Linked DNA regions of Oryzias latipes. The protein of the gene in region 3 interacts with the protein of the main gene of each other region in a biochemical or structural test. Links are inferred from orthologs where the notes say so. Each region holds a gene or a part of one and is shown on either strand. Other genes may lie near its edges. The genes, in order: ADP-ribosylation factor 1, lrrk2 and arfgap1.

Region 1 (11,040 bases), on a different chromosome or scaffold from region 3:
GTTCAGGGGAACATACAGATGTACAATCATCCTCGACACAAGTTCATTAACCCCTAGGATTCCACGCCGAGGCGCCTCCTGGACCTCGCCACCGTTTACTGCACATGCCCCCCTCCACCCGCTGACTCCTCGGCCCGCCACCGTCTTCCCCGCCACGGCGCATGCAGCGCTGCAGCGAGGAGTCGCGGACCCGTCTGCGCCTCCCGTCTGGATTCTTCACAGTTTTAGAGCCTTCATATTTGGTGCCAGTCCTTCATCCCACAAACATTTACGGTTGGATAGCAAAGGCAAAAAAAAACCTAGCAAACAGTGAGGAAGAGGAGGAGAAACCCGCTGAAGAGCCAGCTCAGGCGCTAGAAGGTTCTGGAGCCGTGTGCTGCATTAGTGGGACTGCTTCAGCGGTCTGAGAAACGCCAACACCAGGTAGAGAAAGCAGGTAAACCAGCGGGATCCAATCGGAACGCCGTCACAATAAGACATCACACTTAAGGGCTTCTCAAAAATGTCGTTTAATCCAGGGAATCAGAGGCCAACTACCAAAAGACCAGATCTGCAACCGTGGACTCGGACTTGCTGCCTTGCTTTGTGCTTGACGGTCTCGGTGGTGGGAGAAAGGTAGTGTTCACCGGAGAGCCACAGCCAGAATAATATGATATATTCCAATATAATAATAAAACAAAGAGCATGATTTTCAAATGGCACCGGGATGGCGGTGGGCGGGGCTTTTGCTAGACTTTTACAGTTGTGTGACTTGACCTGATACAGGTTAAGATGCCGTTCTCTGGATCTCTTTCAATCGAACGGCTTCAAAGGAACATCTGACATTTGGTCGACAACGGGGGACGATTTCTAGTTAACTGGGGGGGGGGCTTCATTTGCCATGTGAAAACCATGCTTCCTCTTGAGAGCGGGGGGGGGGGGGGGGGGGCGTGCAAGACTGAGTGGGGCGGAGGCGGAGCTTGGTGGATGGAGAGAGGGCTTGAAAACCAGACTGCTGATTCCACAGGAGGTGTGTAAAAGGCACGCCAGGGTTACTCCCAGTCCCAGCCAACGCACACAGGCGCCTTCACACCCACACACTCTGAACACACAAGGTCACACACACACACACACACACGCACACACAAGCAGCACAGGCTACAGCCCCTAGAGTACTGACAGAAGAAGGTAGCAGGGCGAGGGAATGAAGGAAGTTCTTAAAGGAAAGCACGAGGGCGGGAAACCGGGTGGGACAGGGGGGCAGAGGGGCCTGGGTCCGTGCTGCCGTCGTGTTGAAACAGGAAAAGGAAAGAAAAAGAGAACAAAAATCAAAAGTGGTGGAATGGATCATTTCTGGTTCTTCAGCTGGTTGGAGAGCCAGTCTAGGCCCTCGTACAGGCCGTCGCCGCTGGTGGCGCAGGTGGCCTGGATGTACCAGCTGCGCTGACGGAGGGCGTGCAAGCCCAGCTTGTCTGTGATCTCTGCAGCATTCATGGCGTTGGGGAGATCCTATGAAGACAGGACAACGTCAGCAATGGTGGAGCAAATGCTCCGCTCAAGAACACATCTGGACCTGGTTCTGGCCAACACCTGCTGGCCCAGATTCCCCCCTTTATGGGTTTACTGCAGTGAACGTTATGTCCCACATTAAATAGAGTTTTTTCACTAAATTGCTTGACTGTTGCTCTAAGGTCCTGATCAGAGATGGCCTTCGTTCAAATTAGGCCTGCACAATATACCGCAAATTTATCGTTATCGCAATATCCAGCTCTGCAATAGGCATATCGCAAAAGACTGCGAATATCGCAATAAATCGTAAACCCAAAATGTGTTAAAGCAATCTTATGGCAGCTTGACGCTTTTAACGAATCAAATAAATCCCTTTATGCTTTGACCAATCAGATGGACGCCTTCCCATTGTTGACCAATCAGATGGAGGCCTATTATGTTAGATGTTTGTCACCTATGTCGATGAGGGTCATTTGGAGTGTAATTTTAAACTGTTTCTAATGAAATGGGAATGATGTTTTTGGCATTTTTCTATTTTTTTTATATACCGCAAATTATATCGTTATCGCAATATTAATCTCTACTATTGCATATCGCAAGTTTTCCTCATATCGTGCAGCCCTAGTTCAAACAAACAGGTTTCATCGCTCCTCAAAACAATGATCCTGAAAACATGGAGATGCGGCTACCGCCTGTTCTTCACGCCACAGAAGACGCCGCAGACGTCCGGCCTCACCTGTTTGTTTGCGAACACGAGCAGCACGGCGTCCCTTAGTTCATCCTCCGCCAGCATTCTCGACAGCTCCTCCCTGGCCTCGTTCACCCTCTCCCGGTCGTTGCTGTCCACCACAAAAATGAGCCCTGCGAAGAAAGCGGCAGAGACCACCGGCTCAGAAAGACACAGCCAGACAGAGGAATCGAACCTGCATTACAAAACCTTTATGCTGGGCTTTGAAAGAGGAGGTTGCCTCTTTGTAACGATGCTATTTCTACAGACGAACACATAAAATGTTGGAGGACTTCTGAAATCTTTGACTGGATCCAATAGAAACTCTTGAACTGGAGTCTTTGGGTTTAACACACGCGTTTGCTTCAACCTTTGTCATTTGGACGTCATGCGCCACTGTGACCACAAGGCGGCGGTGAAACAGACTTTCGAGTGTCGTGATAAAACACGTGAATGTCACGCGGCTGAGATACAGTCAGACAGCTGTGACACTTCAAAGTTACAGTCGGGAATCTTTGACATTCTGTCAAAAGCTTTGCTTCTAAAAAATATTTCAGGATGTTTAACGTCCAGTTTAACTCGTTGCTAGGTTACCGGGTATTACTAGTTAACCGTGGACCACTTTGGCTATAAAAATGGCAGCATCACTTTTGCCGGGTAATTTTTTACCCGATATAATATACAAACAAACAAAAAGTACTTGTCATAAAAAAAATAGATCAAAATGATCAGCACATGATAAATTAGAGTGGGTTTATTTTATTTCCCACTGTGGTAAGTGTAGCAAAAGGAAAAGTCTTCATCAGGAGTGAAGGACTAAAAATGGAAGACAAAACATTTGGCAGCACAACAGCAGGTTGAAGTGTAGAAAAGAGCCTTGAGAGGAAAAGCTCTGTGAACAGCGAGCCGTGGGAGTCCAAACGTCTACCTGGACGCAGCTTTCAAGCCGATCAGAAGTCAACTAGAATCAGTTCCATCAAACTGGAACTGGTTAGCTGCTAAAAAGACAGTTCCTGAATCAAACTTTCTTTATTTGCCCGTTTTCTGTGACTAAACAACAGTAACTTTGACAACACACACATTTTTTAGTGCTGTTCACTGTTGAACTGCTTAATTCTGACCCTACAGGTGATTTTAAAGATACTGGTGCATTCTTCCCTTGTGAGCGTGTTTCTCTTGGTCTGATTGCCGCTCGGCACAAACCCTGTGCTGGTGTCCGATGTTTCGTTCAGTCACTCCAGCTGACCCGAGACTTAACGGATCTTTTTTCCACAAATATCTGAACATATTATTATTGCACTACTTTGATCTTTTATGTATTTTATTGCATTAGTAATTTTATGAATTGTGTTCTTAATTTGCCTAGTTTTAAACTTTCTTCAGTCCTTTATCGTACAGCACTTTTGTAAATTGCTACGTAAATAATAAATGTCATTCATTTATATAAATGTAGTTCTATTTTAAATAAATCAACAAAGCTTATCAGACATGCAAGTATGTATTTTTTTTCCAGGAGAGTCTGGATGAACGGTTACAGACTCCACACATACTGAGCCAGGAGGGTTTAACTCCATGGGAAACCCAGAACCTGTGAGGATTGCTGAGTTTTCCAGAGCCTCTCTGGATGCTCACTGCAGTTGACAAGAATTAGTCCCATATATGCTAGACCTGCGATATTTTCAACAGCTAAGCACATACACAGTCCACACACACAACACATAAACGAAGCCTTGATTGGCTGAGATCCTTTTCCAGGTGACCACTGTTATCATATTTCATGTATTCTTCTGTTTTCAAATGACTTACGTTAACTCAGATAGTCTAATCCCAGGATCTAAGCGTGACGATTTGGGCCTAAAACAACAACACTGATTTGTTGCCATGGTGAAAATAGACTACTTTTAAGGTGATGTCGTTCCCAAAAGCTTAAAAACGTTTGTTTTTATATTAAAATTGACAAAATAAAAAAGAAAAGCCCTGACAGAGAAATATAGAGAGGAAAACCAGACGTGGAGGTTTGTCTCTGAAACCTAACTGTTACACCAACTGTTGATTTTCTAGGCAGGAAAAACTCAAATAGCCCTAATAGTTGCTGACGACTTTAATGTCAGGAAAAAGGAGGAGTCAAACAATAAACCCTTAGAAGAATTGAACAAAAGTATGAGTCATCGGTCCAGCAGCGTTCAGATCATCTTCAGCGCAGAAGTTAGGCCCCCTATAGGCAGTAATGCGCTCCAACAGTCGGCCCTTACCTTGAGTGTTCTGGAAGTAGTGGCGCCACAGCGGCCTGATTTTGTCCTGACCGCCCACATCCCACACCGTGAAGCTGATGTTCTTGTATTCTACCGTTTCAACGTTAAAACCTGCACAAATGAGGACAGGCTTAGTGGCAGACACGGATCTGAAAGGCTCCCCAGGTTACATTAAACAGGTCATAAATTATCATTTTAATTGGATTTCAAGTTTACCACAGAGTATCTCCATTGTTAAAAGCATTAATTGTCAATATCTTTGTTCATTACAAATTCATAAACTAAATCATTCTAAATGTCATTTTTTTCAATCTTTTAAAAATGTTCTCAGATGATAAGGCTGATAAAATACATTTTTAACTAAACGTTTAAATCAACACTAAAGCTACCAAAACGTGCAGAACAGAGATATTACAAATAAGCAGAGAAAAGCCCACGTGGAGCTGAAACGTCTCCGTTTTCATACGTTTATCTGAACTCATCCAGCTGAATGTGATCTGGGCCGATCCACAGATCGAGCTGAAAGAATTCACCAGGAAGCAACAATAACAGCCGTGAATAACTAGGATCAAAGGCAGCAAAATGCATCTCCTTGTAAAAATCTTTGGCCACAATATGTTTAGATTTTGTGGAAACGAGCTGAAAGTCAGCTCTGATGGCTGACGGTGTAAATGTTTTCTATCCAGACAGCCGGAGTATTGACTTAGACACACAATGGTTAACTCAAAAACCATGAAATACAGGTAAACAGTGATGAGTTCAGTGTCAGCTTGGAGAAACTAATTGAGAAACCAGAAGATTTGTGTTATTCAAGCACAGAATACTGCAGCAAAATGCATTGTATGCAGAAACAGAGAGGTTATGAAATTGCAATGTTTTTAGCAATCCACTGCTGTTACTGCTGTTTCTGTTGAGATCAGAACAGACTTCGTTCAACGCAATTTTTAAAAAAAATCCCGACAACAATTTTGGCGTAACCTATATATCATTAATATAACATTTTGCTTTTTGGGTTTAACAATATCTCTCTCACTAAGACAGTTTCAGGATGAACAGATCCATGCAGCGTTTTGACATGAAAAACGATCCATTGCAAACAGAAATCCTACCGATGGTGGGGATGGTGGTGACGATCTCTCCAAGCTTTAGTTTATAAAGGATAGTCGTTTTTCCAGCAGCATCCAGCCCAACCATTAGAATTCTCATCTCTTTTTTGCCAAAAAGGCCCTTGAATAAGCTTGCAAATACATTCCCCATAATGACAGAGCTGGAAAACAACAAAAGTAAATAACTACAACATTTTAGTACTCGTACAGAAATAGTAGAAGAAAACCAACACATAAATGAACATCATAACAGACAATAATAGTAGGATTGAAGCAACGCTGTCGTGTTTTAGACTCAATAACAGAAATTTAGAGATATAGAGTTAAATGTTCACTTTGGCTAAACTGTTTTACATCTGCACCATCAAAATAACTATTCAGACATATAGTTTGACCTAGAGTCCTAGTCATCTGTAGGTAATCAATGACAGTACCAGAGCATCGATGACCCTAAATATAATTTGGGAGGCATTCACGGTTTAAGGTAAATCTCCAGACTGATGTGCATAACTGCTTTCCTTAACGTGGGAGTTGTGAAGGTCTACATAAACACATCAGATGTGTTTTCATTGGGATTTTTAGTGAAAATGTCATTTATCAAAGTTTTTCGGCTATTAGGATCGAAACTCAATGTGGCCAGCATCAACAAACTAAATATTTCCCCTAACTTCTATCTCGACTTGACGTGCGAGCTCCAGGACCATAAATTGCGTGTTTTAATGGAGTCCGCAGCAAACTGGACGGACGAATACTTCGGACAGCCGGCTAACCGCACAGCTAACAGATGACTGGGGCCTTGTCAGTCAGTAAACGACTGAAGAATAGTAAAAAATAAAATAGCAGTATTTTCCTTTTACGGGCAGCAGTCATATATCAAATGTAACAGTTTGTTTTAAAGGAAATCAGAAAGTTTGTGCTGTCACCACCCATTACCAACTGATGGTTAGCTTGACTATAGGGCGGATGCTTCGACTTGAGCCTAGCCTGCTGCTAACGGCTAAAGACTGGGTTTGGTCCGTGCGAAATCATTCTGTCAACAACGAACAGGCGGTACGTATCCACGAAGTTAAAGGTTGACGTATAAATAAGCCCGTTGGTGTAATATGTGTCGTGTAAAGTGAGTATCTTTTACTCGTTTTTTTCTTGTCAGTCGATCCAGAAACCACCGTAGCTAGCTAGCTAGCCGCCGTTAGCTCGATGCCGCGTCACATTACATAGAGAACAGCATGACGTCACGCAAAACCACACCAAAATTTGATCATTTAGGTCGAGTTTGAACTCACTCTCATAAAACGGCATACAGAGTAAAAAAAGTAATTGGTTCTGGTGGTTTTTACCTTTAAAAAGACAGCTTGCTGGTCTTTAGGTTATCTTTCACTGTCACTCCAAAATGGCGTCTTGCGCAACCAGGGAGACACCGGCGTCGGGCACGGCCCACTATCAAGCCTCAGCCAATCACAGCGCGTACGGTGTACCAAATGTCCCCGCCCCCGCCCAGCTCTCCGTCCAATCAGCAGAAAGATCGTCTGTGCGTCGACGATGCACAAAATGTCGAGGAAGTTAACTCAAGTTCTTCAAGTTCCACCGCCGTCAACGTGACAGGAGGACGGTTCAGCCGCTGACAGCTGAGGGAGGGATCGAACATGCGGCACTCTCCAGCAGAGTGCACGAGAAAGGCGTACAATGATCATGACAAATAAAGGATATTGTCCTCTCTTCCTTGTTGTTAGGTTGAACAACAGGCGGGTTTTCATTGTGTTCAGTGTCTTTCTTGGGTTGAATTTCCTTTGGTGTCTTTTCTACTTGGATCCATTGTTCTTTGTTTGACTCTTTTTGTCTTTTTTATACATGTCAGTGTTGGTTTGCTTTTATTTATTAACGTTTTTTTTGTTTTTTCCTACATTCTCAGGTTCACATTAGGTTCCAGAGACACCAAAAACCTAAACCATCATTTATATGAGCTCACTTGTGTGGCAATGTACAGACACTTAATAAAATACATGGAAAAGTGTTTTCATTTTTTTATAATTCCATTTTAGAACTAAGCTTTCATAGAGTATAGATTCAGGGTCCAGGTTTAATTGTTAAGTTGTTGTTTTTTTTACATAAATTGAGGTTCCAGCTCATAAAACCCTAGAAAACAGGATTTCGCAAAATCCTGATCGAGTGGAGAAATCTGCTCAAATTCTGAATATTTCTTACAGTTTCACCATCATCTACTGAACTCAAAACACCAGTACAGGTTCCCCAAATGTCTTTAAATGGGTTCAGTTTGGTTCAATGTGGGAAAGACTTGACAACTAGAAGACCACCATAAATATCCCACCAGAGGTGGTCCGCCATGAGCAAAAGTAACAGCTGGTTATTTGGCTTGCTGAAGGTGAGTGATGAGTATTTTTTTTCTTTTAGGTATCACTGCTTCTGCCCCTCACTCTCTGCTGGATCGTTGCACTGCAAGCATTCAGTCAACTCACCTGCTCTGTCCTCTGCCTGCTCGCCTACCTGTCTGCTCGCCACTCAGCCGCGCTTCCAGCTAACCTGCCCAGCCATTCTGCTCTCAGCTCCATGCTGCTATGGCCGTTTTCTGCTCCTGTTTCCCTGCATCACCGTTCTGCCCCAAGCCTCATAAGCCCCTGCACCTCTGCAATTTTGGAACCATTTCCCAGAGACCCTCCTGGAGACCAGTTTTTTGGGTTGCAAAATCAAGAGTGCTTGTGACTGAGCCCTAGACTCCTGAGTTCCACCACGCTCCAACGAGCATCCTTCTCTTTTCTGACATCTGTGTCTGACTTCCATCCATTTGCTGTACAGAGGACTTAACTCCGCCCCCTCTCTGCTACCTGCGGCTCACACTCCTCATCCCAGTGAGCCTGCATTTGCTCTGACCACTCAAGATCACTTCCCATCACTAACCCTCTCCTGTCTCCGTAGCATCCAGACATTTGCTGTATTTCTGCAGGACCTGAGCTGCTTCACGTTTAAAGAATAAAATAAATCTGGTTTCTTGCACTCCTGAGTTTGTCCTGTTTTGGAAACGATGCGTGATAATTCCACGTAAAAGCTTCGCTTTTAAACTGGCTGTAGCGTTTTGAGTATGTACATTATTCCCAATGGAATATTTATGGAACAGTAATGTTTTTCATTTAGATTTTAATCATTTTAGACATCTTAAAGTGCTTTAGTGCTGCAAAATAAGATTATATTTTAAGTGTCTTTGTGTTTTTGACAAAATGCTGTTTCATATAACTTGAGGAATCAAAAGAAGTTTGACAAAATACCAACAATTTAAACAGTTTATGCTCCTTTAAATCCAGTCTTTATACACCAAATGTTTTATTATACATTGTTTTTTGTCACGTCTATTAGCAATATTTAGTTTTTTTCCTGCCTGTTTAAATATTTTATTTCTGAATTTTTTCCCCACAGAAACACAGAGGAAGTTTAAAATTAAACAGAAAAGCATAAAAACCACATCTGTACTTAATTAAATCAAAGAAAAAAACGCAAAGACGTTCAAAAATGTTTTAAATAGAAAGTATTTGTTTTTAAAGATTTAAGATGTCCCTAACTTGTAACAATCTTTGTATGATTTACATTATTAAAAAGTTTTAATGCAAAGATAATGTTGGTTTGAAGAGTTTTTTGCAAACAGAAAACTCCACAGAGGAGCCCCAAAAGGTCATCCACAGCCGCGGGGGGCAAACAGATCCTGTTTATTTCAGAGGTCGTCAGTGACAAAGTGTTGTTAAAACTCAAAGCTTGGTTGAACGATCTCCATTATTGCTGAGTCTGCAGGTCAGAGCCAACAGCATAAATCCAGGGGGGGGCCGAACCTGCTCTGTGTCAACAGTCCAGATCTGCTGCTGATGGAGACATTTTCTTCACAGGGCTTCAACCTTTTTTCTTCCATGCGTTCATCTCAGTCTTTTTCTGACGGGGGTCACAGAGGCGCCAACCCCCAGACCTTCCTGCACGTCCGTTATCCTTTTCTCCGTCCTCAGATCTCCCCTCTCTGAAAAGAATCCTATTGAAATACAGAACATTCTCAACTTTTGTGCAAAGCTCTATTTTTCCTGGGTCTTGTTGGACATCCGAGGTCTGAATTCCTGAAGCGGAGCTCTGCTAGAGTCACAAGCAAACCTCCTTTGGGAGACTTGCTTTTTTCCGAGCCTGTGGCCACAGGCAGCTGTTGGAATGTAGAGCAACAGGTGAATCCACAGCTTTGTTTTTTTCGGCTCGGCTTTCTGTCTTTCACGACTGAGGATGCTGTTGCCTCAGTCTGGATGGGCGTCGTAGTCTTTGAAGAAGGTAGTGAACCTCATGACAGAAGGACGATGTTTGAGCAGGAAGAAGAGTTCTCCGGCATTTCAAGTCCATTTCAGTCCCGCAGCTCCAGCTTGCCGTCTCTGACCCTCCACTTCCAGCGCTGACACCCGTCAGGAGCGGGAACACAGCGGAGCCACAGACCCGACACTTTGACCTTCTCTTCCAGGGGCACGAGCTTTCTGTCCAAACTTTCCAAAGTGAAGGCCTTTCCCCAGATCTGGTGAAGGATCCATGTGATGAAAGATGTGAAAGTCTGACAAAGTCCCTTAGACTTATATGTTTCAATCGATTTTAACATGATATCAAGATTCCTTTTTGCTAAATGAAGGCAGGATTTCATACCTGATCACTGATTCCTACGGCAACATGACCCACGTTGACCTGCCGGCTCTCTCGGATCCGCAGACACTCCCCCTGCATGTTCTCGATCCAGACATCAACACCTGCCATCACCAGAACCAGAGACCTGATTTTAAAATGTCAGACTGTGGCAGGTGATTAGCGAGTGACCAGGAGAGTCGTTTTACCCTCAAAGCAGCAGGAGGACCGCTGACGGTCCGCCGCTCTCCACTCCAGAAGCCCGTCCGAGTGACGGTTGCAGGAAGAGAAGACGCCAGAGCTCAAGTCATCAGAAGAATGATCAGAGTCCTGGAAGAAAAAGGAAATGTGGCCGTTTTATGGGTCAGGCTCTCACTGGTGCAGACGACATTTTAGAGGTTTTGTGCATGAATCTCACATTCTCTGATGCATCCATCTGGGAGGTGTCTGAACAGCTGAAGCAGGACGGAGGTTCATCTCGAGGTTCTGGAGACCAGCACTGGATTGTGGTCCCAACTGGGATATCTGGAGAGGAAGAAATGTTTTGGACGATGGACTCTGCTTTGACAAACAGACTGAATTGTTGTTCATAACACCAGCAGTTTTCCTTTCTCAGTTTGTATTTCATCAGCTGGAATCAACTGTTCCAGCGTTACGACCTTTTATTCGTTGCTTCGAGCAGTCGGACTTCTTGCTTGATTAGACAAATGGTTGCTTCACCTCCATTCCTAATGATGTGTGGTCTCACTGACAAATGTTTGTTTCCGCATTCTCACGTTTTCCTGAGGAAGTCATCTGGAAATCCCTTTATTAGTCCAGAAAA
Region 2 (10,715 bases), on a different chromosome or scaffold from region 3:
ATTATTTCTTTATTAGCTCATTTGAAAAAGGATTTTTCTGAATTTTGACTTTGTTGTTGTTGTTTTATAATACACAAATCATAATTAGAACCGAAACAAAACCATGACCCCCCCCAAAGAAGATCAAGTTTTGAACTGAATTGTGGCTATTATTGAGGCAAGCGTTAAAAAAGCTTCTGCATTCTGCCCCAAATGCATAAACACATAAAGACTGCTATGTTTCTCTCTCTTTGGATTGACTAACATGACATAAAACCGTTTCATTGGGACATTAGTTCAAAAAGGATGTGGGTCAAAGTGAAACCTTCTTCAGTTGTCGTCTTTATTATTGTAATTGTTATCTAAAGCCTTGAAAACTCACAGCAGAAGCCTTAAAACACCTAAACTAAGACAATGTACACGGAAAAGATCCAAAAAGATTCCAGAACCATTTTACATTTACATTACAGCTTGTGTTGTTAATTCTGGACACATTTGAAGTATTTTGTTGAGGTGTTTTACAGTTGGTTTGACTCGTTAGGATACTTTTGGATTGTTTTGAACCATGACTGGAACTTTAGTGCATTTTGAATGAGGTTGTGTTTTTATTTGGATCTTTCCTGTCTTGTATTGTCGATTCATGTATGATCAACCTGTCCACTGAATACACAAAAGCTTCAGGAAAAGATTGTTTTATATATGAAAAACTTACATTTCAAGTTTCGGACCTAATTAATAGAAATGTTCCATACACATTTTTTTAGAAAGATTTTGGTGTATTTGGATTTTACCGGTGCAAGCCAGAGGCAGAAGCACTTTCATGGCCTGCAGGAGCACCCCTGGACTTCCTGGAAACCTTTGAAGAGCTGAAAGAACAACATCATGGTCCTGGTTCTCCACAAACTCCACAAGATGAGCGGCACTGACTGAGAACACAAACACAAGAATGACAAATTAGGAAGTTTTCCTAATCCTGACAGAGAAAAAAGTTACTCAGTGCAGTTCTCAGAAACATTTAATGTGCCAGGAGCAGTGTGGGCTTCAGTGTCTTGCCCTAGGACACTTCCACACAAGCTGGGAACTGAACCTGCAATCAGAGGTCAACCGCTCTCTCTCTGTTTACCACATCGACAGCCTTAACCTTTGCCCTTTTAAAGCATTTCCTTTTTAAGCCAGTTTCCAACGCTCTGGTTTGTTCACCTGTGTTAAGCAGCCGCTGCAAAACTCCACAGCCGTGAAAGTGAACTTCATGGCTGGTAGGAAAAGTCTTCATCGCCTGGACCACCAAGCTAAAGACATCCTCCTCCTCCTCCTCCTCCAGCAGCAACATGGGAATCACATCTATTCAGGAACAGAGGAAGAAAGCATCGGGAAAGTAAACACAGTTTGATCAAACACTGAAGAACTAAAACATTAAGTCAGCTTTAGAAAATAGAAAGCAGGGCAAACTATTCTCAAAGTCCCACTCCAACATTTCTGTCACAGCAGTGGGTCTGGTGCAGGTGCACACCTGATGTGAGCAGCAAAGCCAGCGCCCGAAGTCCAACCATGGTCACATGCCAGTCTCTGCTGTGCTGAGAAAGCACCTTCAGGATCTGCCTGGAAAACACAGCAGCACAATCAGCATCTGGGCTCTAAGCCCACAGCTGCAGCACACGACAACAGCGTCTTTCAGAAAATGCAGGAGGTTTTTGCAATCAACACTAGTTTGTGACAAATGGATGACACTTGCTGGAGCAAACTGGAAACACAGACTGGCATTTGAATAGTTAAGATAAATGCTGGTTGTAATTCAGCCACGTGGAACTTGTAAATGGTTCCACTGCAACAAAGTCGTGTCTTTTGCTGAAGTTATCCAACTAAAGTGTAAAAGTCTGTTACTTCCAGGGCTTACTTGGGTTTTTTTTTTTTTACTGCCAGCAAATGTATAACACTGTCTCCTCTAAACATGTCACAACTTCAGCTTCCAAATCATTTCTTTGCATGACCCTTTAACACAAGCCTTTCATTATTATGGGAAGATTGGGGCACTGGGACACTTACTGGTGCACAGGCAGGACCTCCCAGTCTCTGGCAGCCTGCAGCGGCCTGGTTAGCTGCCCCAGTGTGCCGGGGCATATTTCTATCAGCTGACAGAATAATGACAAGCCCACCTGCAGGAACGAAAACTTTACTTCCACTTCAAATACACATAAAACACATTAAAGAAACACACTAATAGAAAGATTGTATCAATTAAATTGAACTCTTTTAAAAAGTGAAGCTGTAGCTGTACATGGTCTAAGCATGAGTGCCTACCCAATCGGACTTTCAGTTTGTTGTAATCTCAGTGTGTCGCCTGCGATAAGTTTGAGTAAACAGCGGTCACAATTCCCCACCGGCATGCCGGATAAGGCCAATACAGGTCACTTGTGCGTTTTATTTAAGATGCAAAGCAGGACTGAAACTCAGACAGATACACACCGCTTCCAGCACACTACAGACCACAGCTGCAGCGACTGCCACTGTGTCAGGACAGCTAGGGTGGGGTCTTCACACATGCTAATGACTGACAGGTCAATTACTTTGAACATTTTCCCCAGCATTTTTCTTATTTTTTAAGATCATTATCTGCTTAAAAAGAGAGAAAGAACCTAAACATCAAATTTGGAGAGGACGCCTGTCTTGAATTTAAAGTGGAATTGAAAGATGTTCCACCTTAAAACATGCAGGTGTGTGTGAAAACGACTTTCCTGAGGCACGTTGCAATGGTCTAAAAAATAACCTAAATCTGATAGTAATAGCATTAAATAATAATTCTATGAGAATGAATGAAAGTCAAACAGAATTATTTTAAAAACTACAATCCTAAATCAAAGCTGGACTTAAATGACGGCACCCCAAGAACGACAATGGAGACCATCCATGTGTGTCCACATTCTTGTCATCAGTCAGTGGGCCTATGTAAAGGGCTACAGGTAGTCCCTGTGCTGTTTGGTGACATGGTGTGTACCACACTCAACATGGACCAGAGGAAGCAAAGGAAAAGAGATTGGAAAGGAAGTTATTGACAAGCATGTCAAAGGTAAGACCATCTCCAAGCAACTTGATGTTTCTGAGACAACAGTTGCACATACTGTTCAGAATTTAAAGATCCATAGGACTGTAGACAACCCCCTTGTATGTGGGTACAGGAGGAAAACCGATGACAAATCAAAGAGTTGGCTAATACGAATGGTAATGAAAGAGCCCAGAAAAACTTCTTCAGAGATTAAAGGTTAATCAAGACCCACTCCAATGGAAATAATGTTTTTTGTTGGTGCTCTTGAAGCATTTTTCTGATGATGGTAATCCCAAAACTTTTAAGAGATTTTGGAGAGAAATCTGTTGGTGTGTGTCAGAAAGCTTGGTCTCAGTCATGGCTCATGGGTCCTGTAACAGGACAATAACCCAAAAACGGATACCTAAAAACACCCAAATAAGGCTAAGAGGAAAACGTTAGATCAGTATTTCCCAACCCCGGTCCTAAGGGAACACTGTCCACCCTTTTCTTTCAACCCTATTCTACTCAGAGAAGACCTGCCTTTGATGATGGCCATTATCAGGCTTCGGCAGAGCTTGAGGACGAGGTGAATCGGGTGTCCTAAAACAGGGTAGCATGGAAAAACAAACAGGACAGTGTTCCCCGACGACAAGGGTTGGGAAACATCAATAAATAAAGTATCAATTAAACACTGCGTTACTATTCTAAAATGGCCCTCTGTAAGCCTTGTCCTCAATCCTATAGAGTATCTTTGAAAGATACTGAAACATGCTGTCTGGAAAAACCACAGGAGCAGTTTGCTCACAAGGAGAGGGACAAAATACCTGTTAACAGGTATAAGAGTCTGTTAGACAGTTACAGGAATCGTTTGATCGCAGTGATTGCCTATATGGTTCAAAGTATTAGATTACTGGTACAAATTGTAAATCATCCTGTAAAGGCGTGGTTGTAAAGCAATATCTGACCTTCATTGGTTAATTTTCATTATACCATGGTCCGGGTGAATACCCGATTCTGATTGGCTGCTGGGTGTGCATTAAAACCTGATAACCGCACGGTGAAAGAAGAAGTTCCGGTCACCTAGTTTAAATGTTTTGTATCACTGCTCTGGCTTCTTCAAAACAACCTTTTGCTTCATCATTTGGACAAAAACAAGTGGTAAGAGGTGAACTTTCTCTCTGAACTGATGCTTCATTCAACCCATTGGAAAGATCAGCATATATATATCGCCGAATCTTGACTGCAGCGGTGGTCCATCACGTAACAAATAGTCCGCTTTTTGTGAGAAAAGTGATCCAAATTGGAAAAAAAACAAGAATTAAGGACTAAAAAACTGGTTCAAATGTATAGATTTTGTAAGTGACCATGGTATAAGCGGGTTAATGGCCTTGGAAGTGTGCGGTTATTACTTTTTAACGCACTTCGCGTCGGACGGTTCAGGCTTCCACGGCGTGCGTTAAAAAGTAATAACGCACACTTCGTCGGCCATTAACCCTTACTTATTACTTTTCTCAGATTCAAATTTCTTTGACCATCGAGCTTTTCTTTCAATAACGGAAGGGTAACAAAAATGTTGTCCACGTGTGCATCAGAACCCCACTCTGAGAGCTTAGACTGGTTGTGGATACCAGCTGATTTAAAAACTCCTGTTGATTTGATGGGGAAAGGCCTTGCATTACCTGCTGGACTCTCCTGCTGCTGATGTATGTGGACAGCACAACCATAAGAGGTGTGTGCACTTCTTTGTCTTTAAACAGTTCAGCTGCTGCAATAAAACAAAAGAAAGCTTGGATGAGAGAGCAGGACCTGACGAGGAGGAGGTAACATCGTGGAGGCAAATTCAGTCCAATCCATCACAAGTAAAGAACCCACAACGTAGTTTTTGGATCAAAAATGAAAAATGAAAAATTTACTGCCAATTCTGGAATGAACTTTGTTTGAAATTAAAAGTTTAAAGGATGTGGAAGTAAGTAAAATGTCTGTTTATTGGTCCCTGTTGTTGTTTAAATAAAAACATTAAAAATGAACATTTTCCTCTGCCATGTTTCTTATGATGGAAGACATGTATAAAGAAAATAAATTCAAACTGCATTTCTGAGTATTTCATGATTTGGTCATCAACTAAAGTCCCACTCTGATCCTCTTTTGATCTATTTTCAAAGCGTACTGAGTGGCCTTTTATTTATAATTATGCTGTTTTTAGCTCAATTCAAAATATTTGTCATAATCTAGGACATGGTTCCTGCAGAGCAGCAGGATTTCATTCTAAATTTGCTTCTGAGTTATGGGTGGGACCGTTGCAGAGCAACCCCCTCTTCCCATTGCCCATCTGTTCACAGTCTCTCCCACTAGCCTACAGACCCTCACAACCCCAATCGATGTAACCAAAAGGCGAGCAACATCGCCCGGCAATATGCAGCCGTACAGTTTTGATCCGGATTCCAGTCCAGTTTGAGAAATCAAAGTCATACGTGGATCTATTCGTCTGCAAGTGGATGCATCAGAATGGAGCAGAGCAGGAAGCGTGTGCCCCCCCCCCCCCCCCCCCCCCCCCCCCAGTTTATTACATCTACATCACTATTTTACAAACAGCATTTTGTCATCTACTCCCAATTTACAAAAATTTGAACCCAAAAATACTCAAAAATATATGTCCTCCGTCATGAGAAAAAAAAAATGCCACAAGAACACCAAAACCATCGGATGTACGACTCTAAAATTCAGATGGAGACATTTGAAGGCAGACTCAATTCTAGTCGTTCTACATGCAGCTGTTATCTGCATGAAAGCCTGTGTTTTAGGGGAACTTTTCTGAGTCAAAACGAAGGTATCAGCAGGACCTCTGGCTGGAGAGCATTTCTGTTTTTTGGGTGTCGGCTTGATCTGAAACTGGCAGGTTGAGAGATGAACTAAAAAGACACATGTTTTGCCGGCATGCCCTTGAGCATCACAGGTTCAGAATGGGGGGTTGGATGTCCTTCAGGTGGTTCCGGGGCACGATGTCTGCTCACACGGGAGAGCAGAGTTGACCCTGTCGGAGGTACTAACCCTCAGACATGGATTCATTGGAGTTAAAGCAGTCCTGCTTTGTTTTTGTCCACTCATGGCAGTGGCATTGTGCCGTTACCATGGAAATGGAGTTTCAACAGGGATAAAGTCATTTTAAAAATGACCATTATTATTGAAATTATTGTAGGGGGAATATTTTCCAAATAGATTTCATAATAAAAGTACATCTAAGATCATAAACCCAAATAAAAAAAAACATCATGCAGACTTTTCAGGGACATTCAAGTCTTTGCTAAACAAACTATTTGAAATATTCTGTAAATGGGAGGCTAAGACGTTGATGTTTGTTTGTTTGTTTTCGTTTGGTGGTGTTGGGGGGGGGGGGGGGGGTGGTTCCTACCGGAGTCCTCGAGCGCCAAGGAGAGCAGATCCTGGATGATCTGGATCAGCGTGGACATCAGCCTGTCCTCCTGAGGAGACTTCAGCCTCACCAGAAGTTTCCTCAGCCGTTCTTCTAATTCCTCCTGGTCGACCATGCTCCTGAAAGTCTCCCGGTACTAGTGCATTGGTCGAGGTCAGTCGGTCGGTGTTTCCCGGAGAACAAGACGAACGAAGAAGAGCTCGCGCTCACCGCGCCGTAGACGTTAGCTAAGCTGCTCCATGTTCCTGCAGCGACAGTGAGCCGAGCCGAGCCGGGCGGGGACGCGGTCCCTGAGTAACTCAGTGAGTTCCGGCCCTGACCTCATCCTCGAACCACTTTCTCTGAGAGAAGAACGTGTTCCTCCTTCTTGCGGCCTCGGAGAATCCGAAAAGACCGCGGTTCCTCTCTCTTCACAGGCGAGTTCCTGTTTCCACGCACTTCAATCATATGACTCGAGTCTGAAAAACACTTCCCGTTTACACAGGAGACTCACTGGCAGCTGTCCCACTGACTGACCCGGTCCGTTCCGGTCCGCCCTCCTCACGACGCCTGACAGCTTCGCTCACGTCCGCTCATCGTTTGACTTCATGACAGTCGGTAACGTAAAATGGTCAATTTAACAAAGAAAACTCAATAAAAAGACTTTACACTGACGATGCCGTTTCTTTTCTTATTGTTATTTTAGGCCAATTAAAAACCATCACCCTTCTTCCTGACAGTAATCCCTCCTCTGCTGAACAGATGCTAGATTTATTAAAGAAGTCTCCGTTTTCTTTTCGTTACCTGAAAGAGTAAACTTTTATTGTATTGCGCACTTACGCCCGGATTTACGGTAGTGTTGTATGGACCGTCAGTGGTCCAGTAAAGAAAAAAAACTATGCAGGTCCCAATGTGGAAATAAATTCATTTAGTCTTATACCAAAATTAAAAATCGCATTTTACAAATATGTTTTACGACAGAGTATTAGGGCCACAATAATAATAAGAAGAAATAGCCTAAAGAAATAGACGAGAATAAAGTCATAACTGTATTAGAAAAATATCAAAATTTTGATTGTAAAGTTGTAAAAAAAAGAGACAAGCGAAAAAGTTAAGACAATAGTCACAAAACCACAAGAAAGAAAGTAAAATATGATGAAAATGGTCGTAGAATTACATGAAAAAATTAAAAATGTAACAAAAATAAAGTAATGCACTTATGAGAAAAAAGTCAATATTTTGCTAAAAGAAAGCTGTCAATTTATTAGAAAAAGGGCTAAGCTTCATGAGCATATAAAGCCCTGCTTTTAAAACGAAAAAAGACAACATTTTATGAAAATAAAGTTGTGCAATAAAGTAATGAAATTAGAAGCGAAAGTCACCATTTTACGAAAATAAATGTGCAATAATGATGAAAAAGTCATACAATGATGTTTCAGAAATTAGTAATTTTACAAGGAAGGTGTAATGTTTTTAAAATTATATTTAGCTTTTCAAATTTCAAAGACACTTGAACATTTAACTTTGTTCTTATAAAATGTTGACATTTTTCTTCTAACTTTATGACTTAATTCTCGTAAGATGTTTACCTTCCCCCCACCCCCCCAATTTTGCGTCTTTATTCATCCTTACACTGTCATACTAACTACATTGGGAAGCCCAGTTTTCCTGTGTTTATCACATGAACCTTTGTATACCTGCAATTATACCAACCAGCAGAAGATCAGCAGCTAAATGCAAAGAATTTAAAAAAAAACCGTAATTAGCATTTGAACAAACAAGTGTTTCATTCTGTGTGGTAATGCTAGAAAACAGCACGACTAAATAGAAATTAAATATTTCAAACTTGAATGATTTAAAACATGGTGAGCAAATGTAGGTGTAAAAGATCACACAATTTGAGAGTAAAAACGAGTCAGTGAGTCAGACGAGTCAACCAAAGTCAGCTGGGTGACTCCCTTCTCCAAGTTTTAAGATACTCATACCTTTAAAAGTTCATTTGAGGTACGCTGCGCAGAAGCCACAAAATTAGGATATAAGTGATCCTTCCCCACAGAGGCTCTGTGTTCCTGTGGCCAAATAGCCGTGGGAAGGTGGATTTTGAATGCCTTTCCTTCTCACGGACAACCTGGATCTGTGGGGTGTCATTGACCATATCTATATTGTTTGATGAAGCCTTTGAAGATTAAAATGCGATAGAAAAAGATCCAATCGAGCACAGGTATCATCTCCTTTGCTAATTGGCTTTCACTGCATTGAAGCAACTCTCTCTGAGCCCTCAGTAGCCGCGGTTACATGGGCAGAATATCTTGATCGGATCAATGGTCGTGTTAAAATTCACCCGTGCACATGGGATCAGAAAATCTTTTTCCGATTAGAACAAACGTTCACATGGCTCACACTTTCGGTTGGAATGAATCATTTGGGCATGCGCAGTAGTGTAAAATCACCCGGATGAGGAAATAGGTCCCGTTGTAAACAAACCGCTGCCACATACATTTATTTAATGTAGCAGCTCGGTAATATACGAGACGATCTTCCAAACGTGCTTTTATTAATGTTATGAATATTATGAAGCGCCTGTTCGCTCATCGTTTTTATTTAATCCGTGTGATCAGTGCTGGAAGAAGGGTTAGGACAGGCTATCAACAAAGGCTAACAACATTAGCCTGATGGACACAAAATCCAGGACCATGCGAGAAACGCAGAAATCTGCATCCTGGCTGCATGTAAATGTCTGGGAATAACATCAGTCTTTATTTTGTCGGGACACAACTGGAAACACAAATCCACGTGATTGTTTGAACAGTTTCTGAGTGACATTTATTTCTGCTTCCCCAAACTTGCTGCGTGAGCTGGCGGTTCCTCCTGAGTCCTGCAGCCGCTAACCCAGAGCGGCGGGACGGCCCGCAGTCTGAATTCTCCCACACATCACAAAACAACAAAACGCACACGTAAAAAAGCATTCTCCTCCCATCAGACAGGAAGTTATTAATCCAGCTGCTCTGCTCACTCGGGTGCCAGTGGACCGAGTGAGCATCGGGGGGCACGAAGCGCTCCTGCCCCGCATGTCCCTCGTAGGGGATGAAAGAGAGGGGAGAGCCAGCGGGGCGAGAGCGGAGCGGCGCTTTTCACGGGGCGTCTACAGAGCAGCTGGTCGGTCCTGTTTGAGCTCCAAAGCTTTCTCTGGAGTGACACACCGTCTATGCGTGAGGTAAACAAGACCAGTAGTGACACACGATCGGAATGACCGTTTACATGAACAACGATCGGATAAACGATCGGTATAACCCACCTATCTCGATCGGAAAGAAATTTTGATCCCAACGAGTCTGACCGGGGCAGAGTATTCCGAATGGCGCGTTTACATGACGCATTTTCTTTCCGATCAGGTGTTCTTTCCGATTACTTTTGCCCATTTAAACGCGGCTAGTGTCAGCTGGTTATGTGTGATAGCAGTTCTTTGTGTTTATGTTCTTAGGTTGAGACTTCGGGAATGAAACCCTGGGACTTTGCTACACCTTCGCTCATGGTTCTTCTTGCATTTGGGTTCCAACCTGCTGGCCTGACCGTGACAGTTTACTGCACTTTGAAAACAACAAATCTTGTTCATTTCCTAAAAGGTGGATGAAAACTCTTTCTGTGGACTCTAGGACACAATTTTAGCCCCAACATTTGCCTGATACCCTTTCCACCCCTACATGCTTTAAAACATCTATTAACTGAAGACCAGGTCCAGGCTGTACTTTCTCCAGAGGCTGCGCTCATTTGACATCAGCCCCATTTTTAATGATAAGGTCTTTTTTGTTATATCATTTTCAAATGTACCTAAGACGGCACTAGAACATTTTAGGTGATGATTTTCTCTATTGCAATGAAAATCTTGAAAATGTCCTTGGCAAAAGTAGAATAGATGCAGTTTTTGTGATTTGAAAAAAAGAACTGCGTGTTCCTGTAAGGATTCGGTGGCATTGTTCTTGGTCATGTTTTTGGTTTTCTTTTTGTCACTCACTCCAGTTTCGGGTTCATGATCCACAGCTGTCTTCAGTTCAGTTAATTACCCTCAGCCTATTTAAGTGTCTTGGTTTCTGTTCATCCTTGTAAGGTTATCTGCTCTGCTGTGTCACAGTTTTGTTTCTCCTCATAGTTTTGTCATGTTTCAGTTTGCTAATTAAATGTTTTATTTCCTGTCACCAATCCTGGTGTCCTGCATTTTGGGTCCTCCACCACGAGTTCCTGACAGTTCCACAGTGGAAGTCGAAGGCGCTTGACAGTATAGGTACGATAACCATTCAGACTACAACT
Region 3 (10,266 bases):
GGAGAAATACAACAGCAAAGCTGCTGCGCTCTTTAGGGACAAGGTTAGACTCGCATGTTTACAGATTAAAATACACTCTCCCTTACATGGTTCTCATTTTGCTTTATTTTGAAAATTACACTAACTTTGGTGAAATTGTCTACTTTTTGTTTTCTTGTTAGACTAAATAAAACCAAAATGTGTTACGACAGGTTGCTACGTTAGCAGAAGGGAAGGAATGGTCCATCGAAACATCTTCGGCCAGAAACTGGACCTCTCCTCAACCCAAGAGCAGCCAGTTATCCTCCACTCGGTAATCCAGACAAAAAAACAACTAACATTGCAATTTTTAAAATATGGAAATGGAAAAGCTAAATGGGTTGAGTTTATTTTTCCTTGTTTAAGGCCTGTAGGACCTGGACGAAACTCAGCCAATTCTGGTGACAAGGCATTTGAAGACTGGTTGAGTAACGATGTAAATTCTTATCAGAGGTTAGTTTTCCTTTTTTAAATTATGTATTCCTCAATGTTAAAAAGAAAAAAATAGTATGTAAATTGTTTTTTTTTTTAGTGGAGGTGGTTACAGCGGCAATCAGGAGAACCGCTACGTTGGGTTTGGCAACACGGTCACTCCAGAGAAGAAAGAGGACGACTTTCTGAATAACGCCATGACTTCAATTTACTCAGTAAGTAACACTTTTTACTAGTTTATACCCGGGTTCCTAAACTTACAGTCGATAATTGTTTATAATATATTGTTAATAATATAAAAATAATTCTGATTTTATTTTCAGGGCTGGAGTAATTTCACAGTCGGAGCCAGCAAGTTTGCTTCTATTGCCAAAGATAATGTGAGTGTGTTTACATAAAAAAACTAAAACTGAGTTTATACACTAAATTGCTGAATCACCAAGAACAGCAATAAAAAAGTTGAAGCAATTATTTATCATTTGCTTTCACACAGACAACCAAACTGGCAAACCAAGCAACTCTGAAAGTAAGAGTTCTTTGGCTTTAAGCTTCTTATATGTTTAGTTTTTAACCCTTTTTAATGTCGCTCTCTCTTTAAAAGCATGATGGTAGAAAAAAACTGTAAGATGGTGAACTTCAGATTTCTAATCCCTGTTGTTGCTACTCTATTTGCCCTCTCTGGATGTAGTTAAAGGGTTATAAAGCACCCCCAGAACCGGTAAAGCACTTTGTTAGGTGCATGAAGTCCTTTTTTAAGTATTTCTTTTTAATCAATTAATTTCTTGCCCATTTTTTTTTTTTAGATTCATTTTTATATTTCTTAATGTTGCTGAAAGTCTGTCAGGTGTTTCTGCTTGTTGCCACAAAACATTACTCATCTTGTGTCTGTTTTAAGTTGGATAAGCTCTGAAAGCCATTTTTGTTATTTTTTAAAGGAGAAAGATTAAGTGTTGTCTTGCCTCTACAAATACAGGTACATCTCAAAAAATTAGAATGTTTTGTAAAAGTTCAAAATGTTGTCATTTTTAAAAGTGAAACTAAAAAATATATAGAATTATTACCAATTACAGGTCTTCATTTCTTCTCATTTTGATGATTTTGGATCATAGATAATGAAATCCTAAAAATTTGTGTCAGAAAATTAGAATATCAAATCAAATTAAAAAAGCATCTTTTAAGTGCAAATCTGCAAAAATTTCTCTGCACTAAACAGCGGTCGGGCCTTATTTTGCATGAATATGCATCAATATTCTGTGGCATTAGGGCAATCAGCCTGTGTCATAGGTGGAATAGAAGCCCAGGTTGCTTTGATAGCTGCCTTTGGGGCATCTGAATTGCTGGGTCTGGCGTCTCTCACCTTCCTCTTGACCTGCTGGAAAATGAAATCACCATCATCACACTGCTTGTCAGCTAAGGTCAGCTTGAAGAGATCCAGAACTTCCTGATAGATGACCGCATTAACTGTAGATTTTAGAAAACCGCGTGGATAAACACAATTGCAAGACTCAGGAAACCTTTGCAGAAGTTTTAAGTTATTTAACAGATTTGGATGTGCCACTAGTTTGATCCAATTTTTCACAAAGTTCTTAAGTTCTTATAGACTAAATTTTAGATTTTTATCCCCAAACTTTCAAGACATTTTAAGATTTTTAAATTGTTACATATAAAAGTTTCACTTTCTTTTAATGACTGACAAAAATGGATGAACTTTTCTGCTCTATTCTAATTTTGCAAGAAGTACTTGTACTGGGTTATCTGTGTCTGCATGGCAACTTTTTTTTGAAACCGCTAAAGAGCTCTGAGGGGTGTTATGGTAGAAAATAATTCACATTGTTTCTATGAACTTTCCATTTAATCCTGGATTATATTTTCAGCCCGTAGTAATTAAAAATTCCCACAGGAATTACGCAGAAGGGGTCATTTACCATCTGGGTTGTATTGTTCAACAGAAAAAGAACAAATAAAACCTGAAAAAGATGTTTTACAGTGAGAAGGAAAACACAAATGTGTACTCTTTAAGGTTACAGATGAATTATTTTGAAAAGTTTTGAAGAAATTAAAGCTTTAAAGTGTTAAAGAAGAAAAAGTTCTCTTTTGGAGTTCTTAGATTGTAAACATTAATTGGTGAAACGGATCTTAGAAAAGGATCGATGCTTCGGTGCAATATAGCTTTTCTTAGTTAAATAGCTGAATTAACATCATTTTATTAAAAGGCTAAAATATGCTTTTGTTTTGAAGTAACACTAATTATCATGTTAGCATTAGCAGAGAGAGTTTTTTCCCTATGTGACTGTATTTCTAGTCTATTCAATAATCTTCATGATGGACACATAAGGAGCTAGAACCTGGCCTTAAAGAGAGACTAGTGGCTCCTGCGGGTTCTAGCTTGGAGCTCTGTTCTCTTTCTGCTGAAACTGGCTGTAGAGAACAGATCATTACTTAACTCTTTGGCTAAAGTGCCTGAGTTTGTGTGGGAGGTTGAGATATCCTGCCTAAAAATAATCTGCTTTATCTCGTTTCTGTGACTCTGGTGCCGCTCTGACTGAGGTGCATCCAGCAGGGTTAGCTGACTTCTGAGGAGAAACGGCCTCTTTGTGTGCTTATTTTGTGCCATTATATCCCTGTCAGAGCTGTGGTCTCTGACTGAAAGGCTGGAAAATGGAAAATGAGTTTCCCTCTCTTTATGATTTTTGTGATAAACTTTGCGACTTGGGATGACGGCAGATCTTATATGAAAGCAGACTGTGTTAGCCACAGTTTGTCCAAAACAAACGCCTCGTTTTTGGATGGTTGCATTCATTAGTGTAGTTAACAAGCGGCCCTGTTGGGTTTCAGTCAGTGGACCAGATTTTTAGTGGCAACTTAGTAATAAATGTGGGCTGTTTTACATGGAAAAGGTAAAAATGCCTGTTTTTAAACTGTGCTCCTGCACAAGTTAAACCACGTTTTTATAAACTATCTAGAAACATGATATCAAAATTATAACTGGAAAAATTAATATAAGAAATTAAAAGGTCAAATATACTTAAAAACTGACACTTTTATGAATCCAAGTCTCTTTCTGAAGATGGAAAATACTTGTTTTTTTTCTACTGTCACACCCTTTTCTGTCTCTTTCAGTGTGACGTTCGATGAAAATGCTTAGTTTCTGCAGCTAAAGAAGAGCCGCTCGGTGTCATGTCTTAATGTGAATGTTAAGCTGTTTCAATCAAACTTTCTTTTCTGACTTCCAACTAGGCAACTGAGTTAGGACAGACATTAAATGAGAATGTTATCAAACCCACACAAGAGAAGGTAAAATGAATGTTTGAAGTTGTCAGTTTGGTGGTGGGATGCAGTTCTTTAAATGGAAAATAACAACCAAAATGGCTTTAGATGTGAATGTGCTTTTTCCCTCTGCTGCTTGTCTTTACCACTTTATCTCCTTTATGCCAGCCTACATTAAACGACAAGAGCATGCTTAAGCCAATCTCCACTCACTGTGCCAAAAATAAAAGTTGTCTTTAATGCGAAATTGTCTTCAGATGATTCAACCTTGTTTAGGGACATGGCTTGGTTGGATTCCTTCAGATCTTGTAAAGCTTTATTTTAGTCTTTATGAGTTTAGTCTGCACAAATAAAAGCTGTAATTGGCAAACAAGATGTCCCTTTTACCAATTTTAATTCATCCTTTTGCTTTGACCTGAATTAGTGGTGAGAAGCTGGAAGGTTTTGTCAAAATGTTTTCCCTTATACTAAATGTTCCCTGAATTTTTGAAGGGCTAAAGCCTTCTGCTTAATAGAATATCTTTTTTGTTGATTCTGCCTCAGTTTTGAAGGCAGGAATGACGGATTGATGATTTGCTTACAGTATTTTAGTTTATGGGAGTGGTTGTCTATGAAATCTTTAGGTTTTACACACAGTTGGTTTGAATGTGTCACACGTTCAAGTGGCTTTTAAAGTTGATAGACTTGACTTTTTGTGGTGGTAAGTGGAGTAAACACGTTCTACTCTGGTAACAGAGAATCATGTTTTGATGCTCTTTTCAAGCAAAGTGAGACTTGAGAGACCAGCGTGTTATTTTTTTGTGTTTTGCTCCATACAAATTGCTCCTTTTGCTTGTTCTATCCAAAGGAATCAACACACTTGTCTTTCAATGTAAAGCTGGCATTAAAAGTGTTCACAGCCCGTTTCCCTTTTCTCTCTCATCCAACTGTCTTTTGCATTTGGCTCTAATTCTTTCCAGAAAAAGGCTCACATTTTCTATGAAGCAAACTTATTGGAATGTAGATTTTTTTGTTTTTTCTAAATCTTAAATGTGGCTCATCCAGGTGAAAGATGGCAAATTGCTAGATGAAATGGCAGTCAGCTTCTCTGGGATAGCAAACAAGGTAGGATAGGCAGACCTCTGCCGAGCTCGTCTGACGCAAAACCAGTCTCCTGAACAGAGGTCATCAGATCTGAATGAAGGCTGACCTAGTTTGAGACGAGCCTCTCGGTCAGCAACGACTTTTTTTGTCCATTCGAGGAGACTGGTTTTGCAGTGTTGATGAAATGTAAACAATGCTAATATCATGTTGTTGTTTTTTTTCTTGCTGTCGTTAATGTTGTGGCGGTGAGTACTGCTGTAAAGTGCAGAAAAAGTAGGGATTTATGTTTGTTAAAGGAAAAAACATTTGTAAAATGTTTTGTTAAAGACCCACTCTGATTGTCTTTTTATCTTTTGGAAACCTTCCCAGTGGTCTTATAATTATGATTATACCTTTTTGGCTGAAATAAAAAAAAAACCTTTGTTGTTTTCTAGGACATAGTTTCTGCAGAGTGGCAGTAGTTCATTAGAAATTCCTCTCTGAGTTGTGGGCAGGACTGTTGGTGCAGAGGTACCCCACCACCCTTCCTTGCCCCGTTGCTGAGAGCTCGGAGCAGGGAGCTTGTGGCCCGGTCATCTTATTTTCTACGTTACAAATAAAATCATTTTTTAAACTATTTATTCTTCTGCTCCTGATTAATAACAATTTGAATAAAGAAATACTCATAAATGCAATTTTAATCTTAATTTTTTTTAATGTATGTCCTCCGTCATAAAAAAATGCCACAAGAATATGTTACAAACACCAAAAACATGATTGTCATCAGAGTGGGTCTTTATGCTATCAGTAAACACTGTACAAGTAAAAAAAAAAAAAACCCTCTTCAGGAAGTCATCTTTAATTATTATTTTGATTCATTCATGTGTTCGACACATTCGCTGGTTTTAAGACGTGCTTTTTCTGACTCAGGTTCAGGGAGCTGGAGCAAAATTGACAAACCTCTTCTCCGGAAAATCAGAAGATGGGTAAATATCACAGTGTCAACAAAACAAATCTCTTGCCAGCAGTGTTTCATTTATCAATGCCAGATTGCAATAAAGCATTTCCTTCATCTACTTCTGTTCAGAACCGGTGCAGAGAGCTACCAGAACATGGATTCAGCTGAGGGGTATCAGAGCAGTTCCAACAAGCCAGTGTCAAAGGACTTCTGGGAAACCTTTGGTAGCAACACTTCCTTAAAGGAGAAGAAATCTCCCAGCAGTGACAGCTGGACCATCCCAGATAATTCTGCTAAGAAGAGCTCAGACAGCTGGGACAATTGGGGTTCAGAAGGAGCGTCTAACAACAAACACAGCACGGAGGAGAGCTGGGAGGCCTGGGACAACAGCTGGGAAAATGCCGATTCTAAGACGAAGAAGAGTCCGACGAAACCTGAAGAAAGTTGGGAAGCTGCAGACTGGTAGATGGCAAACTCCTAAATAACATCTCACCTCTTCCTATTCTCTGTCTCTTCACCTGTCTCCTCCTTTCCCGCTCATCCTGCTGGCACTTTCAGGAAAACATCTGCATCATCTCAGCCCCTGTTTTTTTAAGTTCTTTGTTTCTCCATAACTTACTTACAAAACAATCAAAGACAGAAATGGATTAAGCTCTTAATAAAAGGAAGAAATGAAGCTGTTCAGAGCTACAAGTCACTGTAAGTTATTTCCATAAAAAACCCAACTGTATGTAAAATGTAAACTTCCTTGAGGTACCTCCCAAATATAGTTCCAGAAAACAGTCTGGGTTTTATGAATGAAGCAAGTACTGTTTAGGTCATTGCAGATAATGGCACGCATGAAAGAAAAATACTGTAAATTGTTGTAAATAAGAAAAACTGGACTAAATACAACCTGCCCTTTTCATTTAATTATGTCCCTTTTTGCAAAAATGTTTACATGTTTTGTAAAATTCATTTATGCCAAACTTTACTTTGCAGCTCATTCTAATCTGCAGTCTGTTGTGCTGGAGAAATGTACGAGTCCTTTTTGCAACATTGATTAGTCTTTTATAATGAAAAATAACATTGGAACCTCTCTGATTAAGGCCTTTCTACAGCAGCTTATGTGTTTGAGATGTTCAGAAAGATTAGAAAGCTACTTTGGCTCGTGTAGTACGAAAACTATTTTTTTATAACAGCATGACGGGGCAAGTAGTGCTCTCTGGTTGGTCTGAAGTAAAATATTTCAATTAAAATGTACATGTAGGTGCAGTGTTACCCCTCAGTGAGTCAGTGGGTCAGCATGCTGTCTTTCTCTTTAAAATTGATCAGAGTCAGAATTAAACTGTGATTCTAAAACTCTTAAAGTGTAAATATCTACATATAAAGTCATTGTTTTCTACATTTCCTACACTCATTGGAACATCTTTATTAAGGTTCATATTTTAAATTAGTTAAAGCTCTCAAACTGTTTTCAAACTCATATTACACATCTTAGATATATTATAAAAAGCAAAAAACTTTAAAATTTGATCAAAATGATTTTCCTTTTTAAAGTATTGGTATTTGGTTTGTGGAACTTATTTTCTTCTTGGCCCTTTTCAGTATTACTCAATAAAGCTTAAGCTGAGAACTATTTACTTGTACTTTTGATAGTTTATTAAAAACGAAAAGCAAAGGAATGATTGGATCCTGTACTGATTGTGTTTGCTGGCCAGTAATCTTCAAAGATTAACTTGATGGAAAATTCATTCAGTTCTCGTTGACCTCAGGATGGAAAACATCTTTCATTCGCGGCTTCGATGAGTGACACATAAGTTCTGGGAGCTTTATTCCATTTTTTTTTCTTTACTACCTCTTACAAGTTTTGTATTTGCTGATTGGTTTTCAGAGGAGAACCTTTTTCCACTCTTTTCACTTGATTCCAGGCATTTTTTTGTTCAACTTTGTGGGGTTTTTTTGAAAAAAAAAAAAAAATTTGAAAGAAAAAAAAAACAGAGCAGCAAGGTTACAGTGTTTCTTATGTAATTAAAGTACTGTGCTGTAAAAATAAGTTACTGCTGTAACGTGTGTCTTGCTGAAACCGCACTCGTCATCCTGTACGGTCCAGTGTGAAGAGCCTTAACTAGCTGTGTTTCTGTTGCTGCTGTGTTAGCTCGTGTGACAGTGATATGGACGTCCATCCATGAATCTCCAATTTATCCCCAAACTGTCTTTGCATCACTGAGGCTTAAAAGTATGTCGGCCATGTTTTTTTTTTATGTATGTTGAAAGCCTTTGAGCATTGATAATCTATTACTGTCAAGCCAAACCTAAGCAGTTAGTTTTCTGGAAACAAAAAACAAAGGTTTTATTGGGTTATTTAATTTACATACTCACTACAAAATGAAAAACACCGTAACTCTTCATATAAAATTTATTTTTATTTATATATATACAAGTATGTGTTTTTTTTTTTACTTCATCTGGATTCACTTTCCCAGAGCAGCAGTTGTGATTTTGTGCCTGTAAAACATCTAAAATTGGATTTATCTGTATGTCTATGAAACAAATTATGTGAGAAATGCTATTTTTGATGTCATGCATGATATATAATGTGGATCTAAATACATGCAGTTGTTTCTTCAGTGAATTGAAGTTGTTTGCTTGAAGTCTCACCAGCAGCCGCCCGTCTGACAGAGTGAGTCTGTGATGAACCCAGCTCAGTGCGGAGAAAATTCCTGTTCATGTGGATCCTATGAAAAATAAAAAAATGTATTGTGAATGGCATTTATTTCCCTTATGTTTTATTTCTCTTTTTAAAGATATACACAAAGATCCACCTTAGATCGCCTTTAAAGGGCCTTCATCATGCTATTCTTAAGTCTTTCAGTAGACTATATGATAATATATTTACCTTTGGCATACTAAATAACAATTTTTTATTTAATATAGTGTGAGGAAGACTTGCGATATTAGTGATCAATATTGCGATGACACTTTAACTTGCGTTACATGAAAAAATAGCAACACATCCAAAAACATGATTTCCATTTCACTGCAACAGTTTCATTTAAAGAGTCAACCCTTGTCTACATAGGAGACGAGCATCTAGCATAAAAGAGCTCCATCCAATTGGCCAACAACGTGAAGGCCTCCATCCGATTGGTCAGATGCATAAAGGGGTTTATTAAATACGTCAAGCTGCCATAGGACTGTTTCAGCACATTTAAGGTAACCATTTATTGCAATTTTTGCAGTCTTTTGTGATATTTGTATGGCACAGCTTGATATTGCGATAACGATAAATTTGCGATTTATTGTGCAGGCCTAATATTGTGCATATAAAATGAGAGTTTTTAACGATCACTGGAGAAAGTGTGTGTGTTGGCTTGGCAGTGCAGACTCTTTCTGAAAGGGGCTGGTCCTCACTTTGTGACATCACAGTGTGAGGACCCACTCGTTTTGGTGGATTGGGGGGGGGGGGGCTGGTGCTCAGAATGCAGGATTCTAGAGGAAAACTCAGAGATGCGTAAATTGATCAAAATTTGGGGTTGTTTTTTGTGAAGAATTAACATTATAATACACTTAAACGCGTAAAAAGTTGATTTATGACATAGGAGAGATTCTGATCTCAATGGGTCTTTATTTGGTTAAAAAAGCAGTACAGAACATAATAAAAATAGTGAGTTTGAGTGATAGGGGAGCAGGGAGAGGCAAACTCCATATTTCTTCCTAAATTGTATATAAATAAAATTGAATTACATAATAGATAGCTACCCTCATTCATTGCCAACTTTCCATTTTTAAAGGAAAATAAGGGCTCAGTTTTCTCATTGTTTTGTATATCAGAACGTTTTCTGCGTCAGATTTAATTATAAAATACTATAACTATCTTATAACATAACTTTATTGAGAATAATTCATTTTTATGAATCAAACTTAAAGGAAAGATGAGTAAAGTAATGGCTTTTAGATTACACAAAAACCATTACATTTGCAGAATTTAGACTCTTAAGAGCCAATCACAGGGCTAAACAAAAATAAATAATGCTCACAATTCCGAAAAAGACAAACTAAAAATAATTCCTATGAAGAGAGCAAACCAAATATCTTCATATATTTTTTGGGGAGTTTTAAACTAATTTCTGCTGAAGGGGCGGTTTTATGATGCGCAGGTACATAAACTATGCATCAGACATTTGGGGGGAAACGACCTTTTGCTAGTGCGCATTACCAAAGGAGGAAGGGTCTCATTCGATCGCAGACGCTGACATTTTCGTCGTGTCCCGCCCACGAGGCGTGGAGTCGTGCCTCCTCTCCACAAGTCTCGCTCCGGGGACAGAAGGAGACCGGGAGGACCACCGATGGCTCTGGCAGCGCGTGAGTACCACCGACTCATGACATTAGCCTCTAATTCAACCCTAAAGGTGAAGGCAGGATGCGTCATCCGCCTCCAAATACCGCCTTACATCCTACCTGCAATGGAGAGGAAGACAGACAGAGCAGCCGTTAGCCGCCTATGAGGAGTTCCAGACACGGGGAGAAAGAAAATGTGGCCAGTTTAC

Evidence for each region.
Region 1: the proteins of arfgap1 (region 3) and ADP-ribosylation factor 1 form a complex in vitro, tested with the Homo sapiens proteins (2 studies listed by BioGRID, with this or other methods). The link is inferred for Oryzias latipes from reciprocal best matches to the Homo sapiens genes ARFGAP1 and ARF1.
Region 2: of the proteins of arfgap1 (region 3) and lrrk2, one has a biochemical effect on the other in vitro, tested with the Homo sapiens proteins (3 studies listed by BioGRID and IntAct, with this or other methods). The link is inferred for Oryzias latipes from reciprocal best matches to the Homo sapiens genes ARFGAP1 and LRRK2.

Annotation. Positions count from the first base shown.
Region 1 is NC_019877.2:22,743,873-22,754,912, forward strand, and holds the start of ADP-ribosylation factor 1, read right to left. Parts: upstream 7,043-11,040; 5' UTR 6,911-7,042; intron 5,735-6,910; 5' UTR 5,725-5,734; coding exon 5,577-5,724; intron 4,579-5,576; coding exon 4,468-4,578; intron 2,350-4,467; coding exon 2,225-2,349; intron 1,489-2,224; coding exon 1,327-1,488; 3' UTR 1-1,326. Other genes in the region: uncharacterized protein LOC101166422, read right to left, coding at 9,952-10,116, 10,242-10,342, 10,427-10,547, 10,636-10,742. UniProt on the Homo sapiens protein: Small GTPase involved in protein trafficking between different compartments. Modulates vesicle budding and uncoating within the Golgi complex. In its GTP-bound form, triggers the recruitment of coatomer proteins to the Golgi membrane.
Region 2 is NC_019864.2:2,190,846-2,201,560, forward strand, and holds the start of lrrk2 (leucine-rich repeat serine/threonine-protein kinase 2), read right to left. Parts: upstream 6,877-10,715; 5' UTR 6,547-6,876; coding exon 6,411-6,546; intron 4,767-6,410; coding exon 4,681-4,766; intron 2,133-4,680; coding exon 2,023-2,132; intron 1,579-2,022; coding exon 1,490-1,578; intron 1,321-1,489; coding exon 1,180-1,320; intron 906-1,179; coding exon 771-905; intron 1-770. UniProt on the Homo sapiens protein: Serine/threonine-protein kinase which phosphorylates a broad range of proteins involved in multiple processes such as neuronal plasticity, innate immunity, autophagy, and vesicle trafficking.
Region 3 is NC_019863.2:27,805,264-27,815,529, forward strand, and holds the end of arfgap1 (ADP-ribosylation factor GTPase-activating protein 1), read left to right. Parts: coding exon 1-43; intron 44-191; coding exon 192-292; intron 293-384; coding exon 385-471; intron 472-550; coding exon 551-665; intron 666-773; coding exon 774-830; intron 831-943; coding exon 944-976; intron 977-1,138; coding exon 1,139-1,168; intron 1,169-3,687; coding exon 3,688-3,744; intron 3,745-4,761; coding exon 4,762-4,821; intron 4,822-5,709; coding exon 5,710-5,765; intron 5,766-5,866; coding exon 5,867-6,203; 3' UTR 6,204-8,480; downstream 8,481-10,266. UniProt on the Homo sapiens protein: GTPase-activating protein (GAP) for the ADP ribosylation factor 1 (ARF1). Involved in membrane trafficking and /or vesicle transport.